Danio rerio: one gene and its partners. The protein of the gene in region 1 interacts with the protein of each later gene in a pairwise test. Links are inferred from orthologs where the notes say so. Each region holds a gene or a part of one and is shown on either strand. Other genes may lie near its edges.

Region 1 (2,361 bases):
CAGTCAGTAGAGATTACCATATACCAGATGTGCCCAACACTGTTCATGGAGATCTACCTTCCTGCACAGTTTAGCTGCAACCTTGATCAAACACACCTGTCTTTAATTATCAAGTGATGTTCAAGTTCTAATTAATTGGTTCAGGTGTTTTTGATCAGGGTTGGAGCTGAACTCTGCAGGAAGGTAGATCTCCAGGAACAGGGTTGATCACCCCTGCCATATACCAACCTAAGTATCATTTTTATCTACATTAATTTACACATCAAAAAGTCAGTTGTTTTAGGTGAATGAATCTCTTTCACCCGAATATATAAAACGGGATTGGATAGTTTACCCACAAACTGAAACATTTGCAATGGTTTTTCACTTTAAAATAGTGTCCGATGGCTTGTTTTTAAAGCTTCTGTTATAAACCAAACATAACCTTTTAGAACCCAGCACATGGTTGATCAAAACAAGCACCAGAGTCATGGGTGTTAGCACAACAGTTTTCATATAAGAGAGTTTGTCATCATTAAAGCTTTAATCCAGGCAGACCATTAAAAAAAACACAACACTCCCATCAGCCGGCAGCTAGCTTTCTGTAACTTTCACATGGTCGCCCACTAAAGCTAAGCAGGGCTGCGCCTGGTCAATACCTGGATGGGAGACCACATAGGAAAGCTAGGTTGCTGCCGGAAGTGGTGTTAGTGAGATCAGCAGGGGGTACTCAACCTGCGGTCTGTGTAGGTTCTAAAGGTGCAGTAGGTGATCTTCCACAATGCTAACAGCTAAGCATAAATCTCTGAATCAAAGTCCCTCCCCTGCCAGCCTGAGCCACGCCTCCTGAAGCTTGAGCACACACACCTGAAAGATCCCAGAACTCTCTCTCTGTGTTAAAAGCAACGGCAAGCAGGAATTACACTCATCACTAAGCTAAACTGACATGCTATTTCAGAGCGAATATTCAGAAAAGCATGGTAAACAATATAAGGAGCGGGTCACAGGTCATCATTTTTCAAAAATGAACCAATGTGATGTGAATATAAAACCATCTTCACCTCAGTAAAGCAGGCTAGGCGGAATAGCGCTATTTACTTGTTTTGATGAAAACTAATTAAAATCTACTTTATCGATGCTGTAAAAGGACATTATGAAACTGAAAACAGTCACATCAATCATCAATCCAGAAGATCTTAGTGGCTGAACAACACTTCTGTGCAGATAACCCATTTGTAACAACATCATCTAACGTTAACGTACATCAGCTTTGTGTGAAGCTAAAATTGTTTTAAAACAGAACATTACCCTTCTAAAAGAAATCCTTCTGCCATGGTGTCACCCTTTCTCCAATGTGCCAAGGTAACTCCAATATTGATTCAGGTTTTTAAAAAGTTTTGATTCAGCATGTTTTTACAGATCGCACGCACGTTCCTTCTCTCTCCCGTTTTTTCTCGATCTCTCTCTCATGAACGCACAATGCACATACAGCGAAGCTGCATACAAACGGCTGTGCAGTTTGCTGACAGACAATTTGGGCTACTTATCGGAATTATGAGAGATGTCGGCCTGACTCTATTTAATGTGTTGAGCGCGTTGAGTGTCCAGTACAGTGCTATATAAATGTAAGGAATACTACTAGTATTACTACTAGTACTGTTTTTATTAATTCACACAAAAATGTAAAAGCGCAGAAGCATTTCCAGTTGCCTTTGTTTGCATGAAATGGGGTTGAGACTAATCAAAGGCTATTAACAACCTCTTTTTTTTTTTTTTTTTTTTTTTGAAGGCCGAAGAAAATCTAGGAATGGTGATGATATTCACATTAGTGACCGCTGTGCAGGAGAAACTAAATGAAATAATCGACCAGATCAAAAGCAGACGAGAAGAGGAGAAGCAAAGAAAACAAAAGGAGGCCGAAGAAGCTGAGAAGGTCTGTTTTAATAATAATCTTTTTTCACCTTTCAGTGTACGAACTATCCTGATCTATGACATGAAATTCAGGAGACAATGAGAAGATCATTTTAAAGGGATACTTTACCCAACCGATCTATCCTGGAGGCTCTATCTAATGGACATTATTAGTCGGGAATACACCACAGCCAAAATAAATGTAGCCAGTAAAAAAAACTCTACAATTTTGGTCAAATATGAGACTGTATCATTTGTTTCAATCCTGATTTTGTACTTCTAATTACAATAATACTGTTTTTTTATTTTACATATTTTGTTGGGTGAATCTCAGGCTTTATTCAAAATCAAAATGTTCCAAAAAAAAATATTTAAAAAAATCATTAATTAATTCTTAATTTTAAGACATCCAAGTTGCAGGTGATTTCTTTTGTTTTTAAATTGAATTGAACATTAATCTTTTGTAGGGCA
Region 2 (3,438 bases), on another chromosome or scaffold:
TCTGGACAATAAAGATTTCTAGTTTAACAGGAGTAGTGTTAAATTCAGTGACCCTTCCCACAGGGGTGTCCAAACTCTGTCCTGGAGAGTTTAGCTCCTACCCTAATCAACACCCCCTGAACAAGTGAATCAAGCTAGTACTAGATATACTACAAACTTTCTGGCAGATGCTTTGAAGCAAGTTGGAGATAAACTCAGCAGGACACCGTCCCTCCAGGACCGAGTTTGGACACCTCTGACCTAGCAGCAATTCTTAATTTCCTAAATAAGACCTGACGTTATGGTATTTATAAAGAAGTGCCTCGATTCATCACCATACAGTGTTTTTATGAAGTGACTAAAGGCTTTAATACAATAGTGTTAACTGCTAGTCTATATATTTTTGTTTTTTTGTAACTAAGGTGATGATTAAGAGAGTTTTTTTTATTGAAAAATCCTTTTTGTAGATGTTTCAATTGATTCTCTAAGTTAAAAGCCATAACTGTATATATGTTTGAGTGGTTGTTTTTGTTGCCTCTTAATCTGACTGTATTTTCTGTTGTTGTGTAGAACGACCAGATTTCGGTGACCCTATAATCATGAGACGAGCAGCATCAGTTAAACATGTGGTACGTCTATACATATCTACTTTCTTTATATAACTCTAGACTTTCAGTGGCATTCAGGACATTTGGTGGTTAATTCAAATGTGAAAATGAAGCCACCTTTCCGAATATGAACCCTGTGACTCTATATATTAATGCAGAAATTTATTAATAACTGTAATAAAGATTGTCATATTTGCTTGCTTAAATACATATAGTGACTTTTTTGGTCAAAGCGTGTGTGTGTGTGTGTGTGTGTGTGTGTGTGTGTGTGTGTGTGTATGTGTGTGTGTGTGTGCGCGCATTTATATGAAAGTCATCGAATTTTCTATGATAATGTGTTCTTTTGTATATTAATGAGTACAGTTTAGAAATACTGTTGTTTAATTTGTACATGAATGTGTGTTACTGTTTACTCACATTTTGATCTATTTTTCACAAGACATTTACAAGCCGGTCACTTTTGAAAATTTTTTTTGAGGGGATACCAAAATGGGCCTTTGATCTTTGATATTATGAAATACAATAAAAGACAAAATGGTTAGCCCTCCTATGTAATGTTAGTTCTGTTTTTCTAATATTTGTCAACATGAAGTTTTTTTTCCCCAACACATTTTAAACATAATAGGTTTAAGAAATAATTTCTAATAATTTATTTATTTTCTTTGCCATGATGACCGTACATAATTCACTAGTTACTTTGCAAGATACTTGTTTTCACCTTAATGCAATTTAAAAGTTTAACTAGGTTAATAAGGTTAACTAAGCAAGTTAGCTGAATTAGCTAAGTCATTGGTAGGGCAGACAGAATCTGCAGACGTTTTTTGCTATTTCTGTTAAAAATCTGCGGATTTATGCAGAATGATTTTGGGAGTGTCGTAACTAAAAACTTAACATATGACAAAAAAATTAATTTGTAACTTTTATTTAATGTTTACCATGCACATCCTATTAGATCCACTTACTTGGTAAACAAAGCAAATCTCTCATAAGATATCTACTATACATATCTGCTAAAAGACAGAAGTTATTACTTTAACCTTTTACTTCCTTTTGTCTGAGAACATTATTAGCAATTGACCTTATGGCTGACTGTGGAGATGTGCTAATTTTTGCGATTTGTTTTAGAACTTCTGATTCAGTTGACTATGAGATAATTGACTTGGAGTAATAGACAGCAGAATATGGTCAAACTACTTGCTTAACAAACAAGTGTGTTCATGACTTTACAGACCAAGCAGAATAATATAATAAGAAAATATCAGTTTGCAAAATCAAGCAGCATAACAAGCTGTGATTAATGTCTTAAAATTAATGGAATGAATGAGACCGGAAGTCTAGATCTAAAAAGATTCAAATGGTTGTGCCAACTCGCAGAATCAGGTCAATGAAGCTTTTGATAATGCTGATTCTGGTTCTTATGTATTCCAGTGTCACAGAATCCACCGGACGTTAGCTAGCCAGTTCAAGTATGCACTTGTCTGGGTAAGAGCTCCCTTCATCTGAAACACATTCTTGCTCATGTCCCATACATGTTTGTCTTCCTAAACTACTTCTTGTGTTTTTGGTTTACAGGGAACAAGCACAAAGTACAGTCCTCAGAGAGTAGGACTGACCCACATCATGGAGCACGAGGATGTCATTCAAATTGTGAAGAAATAAAATCTCGTCTCCAGATCCACTACAGTATCAACAGAACATTGGATACGTTTTCTGTTAACAGCTGCAATGTTTCAAGCAGCTTCACCTGTGATATCGACAATTGAAAAGTTAGTTTATGAAAATCACCTGACAAAACCCATTATAATAAATAACTTTCAGATTCTTGTTTGCCTTTCATAAGTAAATAAAAAGTGTTTTATTAAATAACTGAGTTAGGCATGCACACTGGGATTCAGTAAAAATACATGACAAATTGGCAAATTGTGGATTTAAAGTTTAGGGTTATTTGCAAAAACAGATAGCCACAATATTTAGAAATTTTAAGATTTATTATTTTTATTATTATTATTATTTTGCAGTTGTACTCTTCAATACTCAATGTAAAAACTTGATTTCTGGATATTGTTAAAGTCCAATTTTTAGAAATTTCCATGTGTTTTGTAGTTGTGCTTTTCAAACAAACAAACAAACAAACAAACAAAACAATGCAGTAAACAAAAAACAAAAATCTGAAAATTACTAAAAATGTGGGATTATCTGTTTTTACAAACAAAATCTTCAAGTGTATTTTAAACCTGGAGAGAAACTGATTATTTGAAGTATTTTTGAAAATAAAAGAATCAATGTGATTTTTTTTGTTTTTAAGGCATTTGTAGGGTTTTCACATGAATTTGTGGATTTTGTATAGATGGTTAGATTTTTCCACTCTATACAACTCTATGCACAATGTGTATCATTGAGAACAGCCTATAATTTCATAAATTGTCAAAAGTCACTTCTTGATCTTAATTTAAGTCATACTTAAAGAAGTAATGTGTAATCTTTCGCATCACATAAAAAATAACAGATCAAAATAGACCCTTACACATTTCCGCGTTTTTCAGTAGCGGAAGTCATCATAGTTTGGTCAATTAAGAGCACAGTGAATGGGAGAGTAGTTACATCAGATTATTTTTTTAATCTCATCTGCTTAAATAAAAGAAAAACTTCACGACAGTGTTATCAAGACTTTCAGAAAAAGGAAAAACATAATGTGTGAGACTAATATCGACAGCCAGAGGAGAGAACAACGTCAAATTTACCCACATAGACACTCAACTCAGGTGGTTATTTGTAATTTGATGCAAAGATGATATAATACATGTTTAAATATACATATAAATGTTCATACGTTTTTTTGTCTATTTAAAAA
Region 3 (3,665 bases), on another chromosome or scaffold:
AGTGCACTGTGTATTCTTTTTAAACTTTGGATTAAACATGGTTTAAGTCTATAAAAAGGGGTTCATATCTTGTCTTGAAGTTTCATGCTTCTATTGTCTAACAGGAGCTCCAGAGTCAATTATGGCTTTCATTTTTTCACCAACCTGGTTTTTCCCCCCTCAGGTTTTGATGTGGCTAAAACCGGTGATGCCCGAATAGGTTTTGTGGGCTTCCCATCAGTAGGCAAATCCACTCTTCTGAGTAACTTGGCTGGTGTGTATTCTGAAGTGGCTGCCTATGAATTCACAACACTGACAACTGTACCAGGAGTGATCCGTTACAAAGGAGCGAAAATCCAGGTGAACCATTTTGCAGTAGTCCATTACATACCTGATTAAGTTGCGTTTGGACAGTGTTGAAAGGTATAACATGATTTAGTGATTCATCATTTTGTAAAGTAGGTGTACAACCTTGCTGAATGACTGACATAAATGATGCATTCTGAATGTAAGGTCTATCGTTTTAATGGTGTGTTTCTTATTTTCTTTGTTAGCTTCTGGATCTCCCAGGTATCATTGAGGGGGCAAAAGACGGCAAAGGAAGAGGACGACAAGTCATTGCTGGTAATAGACTGTTAACACAGATAATAACAAGACACTTGTAGTGCAGTTCTGTTTTTTTAATTGGCATTTCCCTAAACTTTTCTTCATTCCAACAGTTGCTCGCACTTGTAACCTGATTCTGATTGTCTTGGATGTACTGAAGCCCCTCGGACACAAGAAGCTTATTGAACACGAGTTGGAAGGTTTTGGTATTCGGCTCAACAAGCAACCACCAAATATTGGCTTCAAGAAGAAAGACAAGGGCGGAATCAACTTCACTGCCACTGTATGACTTCAGTGTACTATTAGCTCTTTATTGCATACATTTACACACTTGGGTATTAAAAAGTTTCAAATGTTTGTTGATGTAAAGTTAATATAATTATATGTAATGAAATAATATTACAAAATGCATTTTTATTAGCTTTTTTTCTCCATTTTTTAAAAATCAATATGTCTATCATTGCAGTTATAATATTTGTCCAGTACTAATTTCCAAATTACATAATCTAATACACTGTTCTTAATTTAGTTGTAAGTAAATTATGGCTATATCAGTACTTTATTAATTAATATTGTGAAATATTAAAGGGTTTATTATCATTTATATTACATTATTTATAAATGTCCTTTTGATACAATGATTTTATCTATTTTTTTACCAAAGTTTAATTTTACATTTATCATTTGAAAAGCAATTTGACTTATATGTATATCGTAAAAGAGAATACACATTTTTTTGACACTAATCAGTTTCTCATAACATGAACAGAATTGGCATATTTTTTTTATAATTTTTTTAATCATTTCATTAGTTTTAGCCATATTGTTAATGCCTTTTTGCTTGCCTCAGCATGTTCGCTTCCATCTTTTCTTTTCTTTTTTTTTTAAATGTTTTTATTTGTTTTTTCTTTTTTGACATACACAAAACAAAAATACAAACACAACATAAAATGCCTGACACAAAACACAACTGCATATACTAAAATATACATATGGCCAAAGCCATAAGCTATTATGTTATAAACATTACAATATGGCAGGAAGAGTGAAAAGTTTGATGAAAACAGAAAACAAGAATGAATGTCTATACGGACATTGTCATTCCGAGTTTCAAAATGTCACATAAAGCAAGGTTTATACTGTCCAGATATGGTGTCCAAGTGCGAATAAATATATCAGTTGTGGAGTGGCTTAGACATGTTAAGTATTCCAGGGGAATAATCTCTTGAGTTATTGAATGCCATCCTCTTAAGGAAGGGAGCTTATCATTGATCTATGACATCAAAATGTTCTTCCTGACAGCAAAAGTTAACAGGCAGAGGAGTCGTTGTTCATACTTGTTCCTGATTAGTTTGCAAGGAAAACTCAGAAGAAGGGACAAAGGGTTTTATATCTATGTCCAGTCCAAAAATATTGTTTATTTTGGCTACAATTCTGTTCCAGTAGGCCAGAATCACATGTGCTTCCATCTTTTAATGTCTGTCATTCATCAGATAAGTTGTGTTTGCAATTGTCATTGTGTCTTTCTGTTTTAGTGTGCCCAAAGTGAGCTGGACGGTGACACTGTCAAAAGCATCCTTTCCGAGTATAAGATCCACAATGCAGATATTACCCTACGCAGCGACGCTACAGCCGATGACCTTATTGACGTGGTGGAGGGAAACCGGTAGGAGCAAATTCTCAACCTCAATCCTCAAGCGTTCTCACTTCAGAAGAGATTTTCACATGCTGGTTTTCCTCCTCTAGGGTTTACATTCCCTGCATCTATGTCCTCAACAAAATCGACCAAATCTCCATCGAGGAGCTGGACGTTATCTACAAAATCCCTCACTGCGTGCCCATCTCCGCTCACCACCGCTGGAACTTTGATGACCTGTTGGAAAAGATCTGGGATTACCTGCAACTAGTGCGCATGTGAGTTACCTTCACTGCATTCTGGGAGCAATTTTTTACATGACAGCGGAGTTTGATGATTTTTCACTTCGTAAAGCAGTGGTCACCAAACTTATTCCTGAAGGTATGTGTCCTGCAGATTTTTAGCTCCAACCCTAATCCAACACACCTAAACAAGCTAATTAAGGTGTTACTAGGTATACTTGAATCACCCAGGCAAGTGTGTTGAAGCAAGTTGGAGCTAAACCCTGCAGGGACACCGGCCCTCCAGGACCGAGATTGGTGACTTCTCTTGTTAAGAAACACTACAGTCCTGTAGTACATATTTGCGTATACCTAAAAACTGAACACATAATTCACATCCATATGACATCATAGTGTAAACTGCAAAAAACATCTAATTGTGAAAACTGAGATGATAAAAGTAAAAATGGAAGAATCAAAGCTTTAAATCAACCGAAACAATTGCTTGGTGAAATGATTCAGTGTTTCAAAGTGTTCAGTGTTTTTTGAAACGCAACATCCTGGCGCCACCTGTTGGTCAGTCCTCTAAATGCATCTCAAAAACCTCTCATTAAAGTGGACCTATTGTGCAAAAATCACTTCCATAAGGAGTTTGGGCACAGTTATGTGGCAACAGTGTGTGAATATAGCCAGCTTCAAATAAAAAAAAATAATAATAATTACCTTTTTTATTATCACACTTGATAAAAACTTTGAGCATGTCATCAGGGAGGAAAGCCCCACCCCATGGTGTCAATCTGTCCTTAGTGACATAAACAGCCCTGAGTGAGAAGCAGCTGTCCACCATTAGTGTTTTCACCATACTTGCTAAAGATAATGTGAGCGACTAAGAGACATTTTAAATGCTGAGTTTTGGGATGCACAAATGAACACTGTAGGCTCCATAGACTGCCTCCTCCTTAGCCTTCAGTCATTGATAGAGAGAACATTCATTCTTTGAATCTGCTTCTATGCTAAAGCATAGGTGTTTGCAGCTCAATGTCATTTGAGTTTAAAGAGAGAGCCACCAAAACTGCACAATTCTGGTGAAAGCCTGAAAGTTTCAGTTTCAAGGAGTTATAAAATACGATTCGTTAGGTATTTTGAGCTAAAACTTCAAACACACTCTAGGGACGTCAGAGACTTATTTTGCATCTAGTAAAAAGAGGCTTAATAGCTCCGCT

The links.
Region 2: the proteins of rwdd1 (region 1) and drg2 interact in binary tests that used the Homo sapiens proteins (3 or more experiments, as listed by UniProt). The link is inferred for Danio rerio from reciprocal best matches to the Homo sapiens genes RWDD1 and DRG2.
Region 3: the proteins of rwdd1 (region 1) and drg1 interact in binary tests that used the Homo sapiens proteins (3 or more experiments, as listed by UniProt). The two-hybrid records come from large-scale screens. The link is inferred for Danio rerio from reciprocal best matches to the Homo sapiens genes RWDD1 and DRG1.

Annotation. Positions count from the first base shown.
Region 1 is NC_133191.1:35,399,792-35,402,152, reverse strand, and holds part of rwdd1 (RWD domain-containing protein 1), read left to right. Parts: intron 1-1,768; coding exon 1,769-1,912; intron 1,913-2,361. UniProt on the Homo sapiens protein: Protects DRG2 from proteolytic degradation.
Region 2 is NC_133178.1:39,100,904-39,104,341, reverse strand, and holds the end of drg2 (developmentally-regulated GTP-binding protein 2), read left to right. Parts: intron 1-549; coding exon 550-608; intron 609-2,015; coding exon 2,016-2,069; intron 2,070-2,159; coding exon 2,160-2,246; 3' UTR 2,247-2,875; downstream 2,876-3,438. UniProt on the Homo sapiens protein: Catalyzes the conversion of GTP to GDP through hydrolysis of the gamma-phosphate bond in GTP. When hydroxylated at C-3 of 'Lys-21' by JMJD7, may bind to RNA and play a role in translation.
Region 3 is NC_133185.1:22,540,036-22,543,700, forward strand, and holds part of drg1 (developmentally-regulated GTP-binding protein 1), read left to right. Parts: intron 1-163; coding exon 164-339; intron 340-533; coding exon 534-603; intron 604-698; coding exon 699-868; intron 869-2,120; coding exon 2,121-2,251; intron 2,252-2,331; coding exon 2,332-2,499; intron 2,500-3,665. UniProt on the Homo sapiens protein: Catalyzes the conversion of GTP to GDP through hydrolysis of the gamma-phosphate bond in GTP. Appears to have an intrinsic GTPase activity that is stimulated by ZC3H15/DFRP1 binding likely by increasing the affinity for the potassium ions.